Oryctolagus cuniculus: one gene and its partner. The protein of the gene in region 1 interacts with the protein of each later gene in a pairwise test. Links are inferred from orthologs where the notes say so. Each region holds a gene or a part of one and is shown on either strand. Other genes may lie near its edges. The genes, in order: PRR3 and ASF1A.

Evidence for each region.
Region 2: the proteins of PRR3 (region 1) and ASF1A interact in binary tests that used the Homo sapiens proteins (3 or more experiments, as listed by UniProt). The two-hybrid records come from large-scale screens. The link is inferred for Oryctolagus cuniculus from reciprocal best matches to the Homo sapiens genes PRR3 and ASF1A.

What each region holds. Positions count from the first base shown.
Region 1 is NC_091436.1:139,856,816-139,861,197, reverse strand, and holds the start of PRR3 (proline-rich protein 3), read left to right. Parts: upstream 1-1,441; 5' UTR 1,442-1,735; intron 1,736-1,937; 5' UTR 1,938-1,954; coding exon 1,955-2,054; intron 2,055-2,733; coding exon 2,734-2,796; intron 2,797-4,382. Other genes in the region: GNL1 (guanine nucleotide-binding protein-like 1), read right to left, coding at 197-362, 768-840.
Region 2 is NC_091436.1:51,459,540-51,462,331, forward strand, and holds the end of ASF1A (histone chaperone ASF1A), read right to left. Parts: intron 2,172-2,792; coding exon 1,995-2,171; intron 926-1,994; coding exon 713-925; downstream 1-712. UniProt on the Homo sapiens protein: Histone chaperone that facilitates histone deposition and histone exchange and removal during nucleosome assembly and disassembly.

The DNA of each region.
Region 1 (4,382 bases):
GCCAAGCTTTCTCTCCGGAGCCGCTGAGAGTCTCTCTCCCAGCCAACCGTTCTCTCCTTCCCACAGTAGCGAAAACCAGACTCTCGGGCCCCTTTGTCAGGGAGGGCTGCGGCGGCTTGGGGCGGGGGGAACCTCGACCCGCCAGCAGCCGGCTTGCCCTGGACGCCCGGGGCCAGAGTCCCCCCTCCACGCTCACCGATTCGGGTCGTAGCCCCGCGGACCCAGGCCCTGGGAAGGCTGCTGATTAAGCCTGCGGATGTGATGGGTCACAGACTCCCCGTCCGAGGTGTCAGTCTGCTCCTCCCGCCGCTCCCGGCTCCCGCTGCGGCTGTTGGAACTGGAGCGCAGCCCATCTTGAAGTCCTGCGGGGAGGGGCCGGTGACGCCAGCGCTGGCCGGCTCTCAGGGGCCATAAGACCCCCCCCCCACGCCCCCGCCCCGGCCCCAGCCCCGGGAGGCCTGGCTCCCCTCCACCCACCCAACTTCCTCCGCGGCTCGGCCCTCCCAGCCACGCGCCCCAGGACCCCTCCGGATGTGCGCGGGGGCAGTCGCTGCTCCAGGGAGCTGCGGGAACGGCTTCCCCTCCCCCAGCTCCCCATCCTCGCCCACCCCTTCCAGCTATGGGGGAACCCCTCCACGGCCGCCCGCGCACCTCGGCGCGCGCTCGCCGCCCCCTCCCACGCCCCCTCCCCAGGTGCAGCGGGCACACCCCTCCCTCAGAGGTGCGGGAGCCCGAGCCCCGCCCCCTCCGCCCGCTCCCGCACTGACCTCGCTTCCGTTCGCGCTTGTCCTGCAGCTGCTTCTTCTTCTGCTTCACGCTGAAGGGCTTCTTCCTCGGCATGGCCCGGACCAGTCACCGGGCCCGCCCCTCCGCCGAGCTCCCGCCGCCTCAACTGACTCCCGGGGGCAGCCCCCGCCGCCAGGGCCCGGGACCCTCGAGGAGGCGGGGCTAGCGGGTGACGTCACGGACGGGCCGGGCCGGCCGGCGGCGACTGCCGGGACGGAAAGCAGACACGGGGTGGTCACGTCTCTCCCGGAGCGAGGCGAGGGGCTGAGGGGACGGGGCAGGCGGCCGGCACGTGAGAGTCAGCGGCACCGGCGGGGCGCAGCGGCGGTGGAGGAGGAGGCGCGCGTGGGAGGATCGGGCCCGCTCCGTCACGGACGCTACCAACGGGCGCCCGCAGGAGGGGGGGCGCGTGTCATCACTACCTTGCGCTCCCGGGAGACGCTACCACTCACCTGGCGGGGGCGGCGGAGCGGAGGGCGGGCCCAGCTACCTTCGGAGGGAGGGGGCGGGGACGCGCCGAGGCGACAGCACCGAGCGGGGATTGGCCTGGGTGGAAAGCGGAGACGGAGCACCCCGAGAGGGAAGCCCGCTTGCTGGCGACTCGTGGGGCACGGCCGGAGGTCTTAAGGGGCGGGTGGCGTTCTGCCGGTTCCCGGGCGCGGACCTGCTGGGACCCGAATTTCGATGCTAACGGGCGGGTCTGCAGATCCCAAGCGCGGGCGGGAAGGGAGACCCAGGTGGGACAAGGACTTTTGGAGGGAGGTCAGAGGGCACCGAGTTGTGCCTGCGGCTGTTCCCATGGTAACAGGGCACCGGAAGTGGCGACGTTAGGACGCGACAGCCCGCTCTCAGGCCGTCCGGCCCGGAAGCCCGTGGGCTCTGCAGCACACTGTGGTGTTTCTTGGCGGAGGAGAGGGCACTTGTAAGCACTTGGAGAGATGCAGCAAAGGTAAGGTTTGAGGTTGCCGCCGTGCCTAGCAGAGCGGGAGCGGGGCGGTTTTCGGGCGGGTGCGGCCGCGGCAGGGGCTCCCCGCTGCCTCCCGGAAGTGGAATGGCGGGAGCCTCAGCCCCGCTGCCCACCGGGCTCCCCCCGGAAGCGGAAACAGCTTCCAGCGTGCCCCTTCCTCACTGCCCTCCAAATCCCGCTGCAGCCATTGCCGCAGCCACGATGCCGAAACGAAAGAAGCAGAATCCGCAGCCGCCGCCACAGCAGCCCCCACGGCCCGAGCGGGAGGAGACTGGAGACGAGGAAGATGGTTGTCCCATGGGTAAGGGAGCGCACGTTCTCGGCAGCTGGGCCAGGCTGGGGCCAGGGACTAGGCAGGTGCGGGGGAGGGGGCGCTCACGGAAGGCGCGAGGGCGCACGCGCAGGGGAAGGGGCTGTCCTGCATGCAGCTTTAAGCCAGGAGTTTACTCACCTGAACTCCTGGCCTTTATCCGGCCCCCAAACCTTTCTGGAGGAGGCGGGGGAGGAAAAGCTAAAGTGCGGAGTGCGCAGCCGCAGGAGGAGAGGTGCGCGATGTTGCAGGCTGTGGCGGGTGGGAGCGCAGTCTGAGATCAAACTAGGAGGGTAGAATGCAGTGCGGCCGCCTTTTAAGCACTCCCCTGGGGGAGGGGGAGGGGAAAAGAGCTGTTTGATTGGCCAGCAGTTCAGGTGGGGGATTGAATTAGCCCTGGAATTACCTAGGATGTTGTGGTTGCACCAGTATGAGGGAAAGACAGTGGTCAGCGTCATTCCTGCATGACCGGGTTTCCTGAGTCTCTGCTTTCTAGCAGAACATGGAAACAGCTTGGCAGAGGAAAGGGCCCACAGATGGGGTGAGAATGTGCAACACTGATGATACATAGCTCACTTCGCTGATTGAGTTAAGGAGTGCATTCTAGAAGGACATCTGAGGACAGGATCATAGCCCATTCTGATGACGGTATTTTCATGTCTACTCTTAGGACCACCCAGCCTTCTGGGCCCTCCCCCCATGGCCAATGGAAAGCCTGGTGACCCCAAGTCAGGTGAGGAGGAGGGGACCCGGATCCTTGTATTAGATGCTGGAGAAGGGTGCAAGAGGAGAAGTGAAACCTAGCAAGAATTTCACATCTTACAATCCAGGATTCGATGCCTAAGTGAATGGAGAGAAGTTATGCATTCACAGACTGGAAAAGTCATAATATTGGCGTGAAAATGCAGGGAATCAGGGTGAGAGACTGTAAAGACAGTGTAAGTGAGAGGGCTACTCTGAACATCAAGATTTTTTGTAAAGCTACAGTGGTTACAGCTGTGACTTTGATGCAACAGAACAGATTAAAAAGGCAAGTAACAGGCCCACACATAATGAAAGTGCCTCAAAAAATTGATGGAAAACAGTTAAAACATAAGTTTATCTTGGTGCCTAAAATTTTCAAAGTGCATGCATGGTTTTTTCCTAATATGTGTTTTCTGTGAATTTTTTGACGTCTTCGTGTGTGAGCTCTTCATTTATAAAGATAGAACTGAAAAAGTGGTCTTTTCGATAAATGATGCTAGATCAGTTGGATAGTCGTGTAGGAAACGAATGGAATTTAACCTCCTCACAGTCTTAAAAATAACAGTACTAGTTGGACTGCAGATCTAAGTATAAAAGGTAAAAGAAAAATTATTGTAGAAAGTAAGTGTATATTCTTGGTCTTAGAGTAGCTAACAGTTCTTAGATGAGAAATACACATACACAAATTATAAAGAAAAGATTACTATATTCAACTACATTAGGTAACATAAACTTCTTTTAATCAGATGACATTGATTAACAGGAAGCCATAGAGTAGAAGACGGTATGTTCAACAAATATAACCAATAAAGAGCTCTTATCTGGAATATAAGAAGAACTCTTCCAGACAGTTCATTAGAAAAATTGGCAGAAGACCAGAACAGATTCTGGAGATCTTAATGGACCCAAACTGTGTGAACTAGTAGTCAACATCATTAGTCATCAAATACAGAATGAAAATATACCACGTTGGAGTTGGAACTCGTATGCATTATTGATGGGATTGTAAAATGGTACAAGCACTATGGAAAACAATATGGAATTTCTTCAAAAACTTAGAACTGCCATATGATCCAGTCCCACTTGTGGATATATATCCAAAATTATTGAAAGCAGGGTCTTGAGGAGATGTTTGCCCACCCATGTTCGTAGAGTATTCCCAGTAGGCAAGACCTGGAAGCATCCCAAATGTCCATTGATAGAAGAATGGATAAGCGAAGATAAAAGTACAATGGAATACCTTAAAAAAGGAAGAAAATGCTGTCACATAACTACAACCCAGATGAACTTGGAGGACTTTCTAAGTGAAACAAGCCCGTCACAGACAAATGCTGTATGATTCCACTTACATGAGGTATCTCAAGTCAAACTCATAGAAACAATAGAATGGTGGCTACCAGGGGCTGGGGGGCAGAGGGATGGAGGAAAGGGAATTGTTTAATGGGTACGGAGTTTTAGTTTTGCAACAGACAGTTCTGAAGATCTGTTTCACAACATGAATATACTTAACACTATTGAACTGTACACTAATACATAATTAAGATGGTACATTTTTAATATTTTTTAACCACAATA
Region 2 (2,792 bases), about 88 Mb from region 1:
TGAGCAATTCAAGAAGTGCTCTGATGTCTTAATTTTGTATAACCATTATAAAAACAAACACCATAGCCCAAAGAACTTTATAAACATGTAGGTACATTCGTTATCTTAGAAACTAAAGCAAATGCTGCCCCACATTACATTAATTGTAATAGTAACCATAAAAGGCTTCAGGGTGGCCTGAAAAGGACAGATCCTAAAGTCCTTGGTAGCATATAATTCATTTCAATCCCCCTTTTAAAGTCATGCCAAAAAGGAATGGAAAGTTTCCCCTTAAATTAAAACCACACTTTATGTTTTAACAGGAAGAAACATCTTAGTTGAAGTGAACTTTCTTTTTTCAAAGGCCAGAAAAAATAATGTTCCAAAGATTACTGTCCGAGAGGCTAAGACATCTTCACAACCTGGTCTAAGGATTTATATTTTTCTTTATAAGTGCTTTAATTACATATAAAGGAGAAGAAAAATAATATATATGCTTTAATCAAATTAGTTTCAGAACAAATAAAATAACACATTAGAGAAAAAATTACTTAAAAATAGTTGTATTTATATTCCACAATTTGCTCAAATACTGGTTTTCTTATAAACTTTCTACAGGATGTTTTTAAACAAATTCTTCACATTTTGTCTTGACTATGTACTTACGGAATTTCAGGGAAATAGTTCTGTGTATTTTTAATAGCTTAATTTGTACTAAAGGGATGGCAGGTGGTCACATGCAGTCCATGTGGGATTCTAACATGACATTTAGTGAGTTTTCTGACGTGGACCATCCCTTTGAGGCAGAAGGTAATGCATCTGTTGACAGAAGTGACTGTAGATTTGGATTACTGCTCTCTGCATCTTCCAGTTTTTCTGTGTTGTCTTCCCAATTAATGTGGAATCTTGTGACCCTGGGATTAGATGCCAAAATGTTCCTTTGAAGCTAGAAGAAGGAAATATATAAATGGTAAACATTACCAAAGTTTAATCACCCTATGCAAATAGATACTTAAAGAAATGGGTCCTTTATGTTAGCACTCCTGAAGGGTTACGTTCATATACAGAAGTATAGGACAAATAAAGCACTTTAGCATAACTAATAAACAAGGACTAGGACCATAGCAATTATTTTGGCTTAATAGGAACAAGATATGGAGAATCTGAGGGAATTCATTCAGATCTTTTACTATACTATGAAATATCTATTCTTCTACTCTTGTACTTCTATTTCCTAAGAAGGGAAAGAAAATTTCTCCCAAATACATCTTCTTGCTATTAGTGATTTCCTACCTTTTAAATATTATGGTTCATTTTTGGAAACAATAGTCTAGTTTCTTCTCTTTTCTGTTGTACAAGTTACCAAACAGATAACCAATAAATTTGATCTATGAAAGGATTGGCCAGGATGAAAAACATTCTAGCCTTATTACCAGAAAGTTGAACTTTATTCTACTGCCATGTGACTTTCCTTGTATTGCCTGGCAGACAGAGGGCCCTATTCAACTTCACTTGATTTGCACCCTCTCAAAATCACCAGTTAGTAAACTGTTACAGTTCCCAATGAAAAACCATAAAGGTACTAAGTATCCTTGAGAATAATGAATCACAGATTTCAGCTTCTCAGTGTTTAAGCTATTTGCTATCACCTGAAATATTTAAGACCTTTACTTTATCTGCTGTTCCTACAGAATAAAACTAAAGCATATAGGTACTTTGATATAAGCATAGATAACTGTTTATATGAAAAGCAGACACAAACACAGACTTCCATGTCATAAAAGCTGAAGTGAACATGATCTATGGGAAATGCCATATAAGAAGCAGTAAACAAGTGCCCATTTCTTATCAGAGATACTTAATGACTTGCATAGAGAAAGGGTTTGAGGTCACCCATGGTAAGGGAACAATGATTAGTTTGCCCAGCTGGCCCAAAGACATCAAATTTACTTTGTCTCAAACTGCCTAAAAAATTGTATAGTAACAGTAATTAAAAAGGAATAGTAAGACATTACCTTAGAAAAGTCTGGTTTTACTGGCGGATTTTCCCTTAATTCTGTCTCAGTATATTCATTATTTACATAGTAGCCAACTCTAATAAATTCTTGACCTCGATAGGTACAAGTAATTAGCACAACTGTTACGCCTACTGCATCAGCATCTGGAATGAGTCCTGGATTAGGTGCATCTGCCTGGAATAATTTAAAAGAAACATACACAAAAGGCTGTTAATGGCAGGCGAGATTGGAGTTGTAGTTACCCTGAGCACTTTCAGTTGAACATGGAACAAGAAAAACTTGGAAATCACATTGGGAAGACAAATGCTTACATTTGGGATTGGCCTAAAGGTAGATATATAGCTCATGTTTCTCCACAGTATCCTCAAGTAGCTTCATTAAACTTCCAGAGGGAAATAATTCTGGTTACTGTGTGTGTTGGTTCATGAGGAATTATGCAAATTCATTATAACTTTTTATAAAATACTTAAACAATTTAATCAATAGTGCTATTGGTTTTAACTTTTTCCAGTTATAATTTTCAGACCTAAATTAGTAAATACTAAATTATTTCCACACAACCAGTTGGCAACAAATGTTTTTTATACCAGTTTTCCTTTTCTCCCCAGGACACTTATATTCTCGTACCTATACAACCACCTCTCACAAATATTCTAATAGTAATTTAGTATAAAACTGAACACAAATAGCTACACAGCAGATTTTTGTTTTTCTTTTTAAAAAGATTTTATTTATTTGAGAGGCAGTGTTACAAAGGGGAGAGAGAGAGGGAGGGAGGTAGGAGGGAGGGAGAGA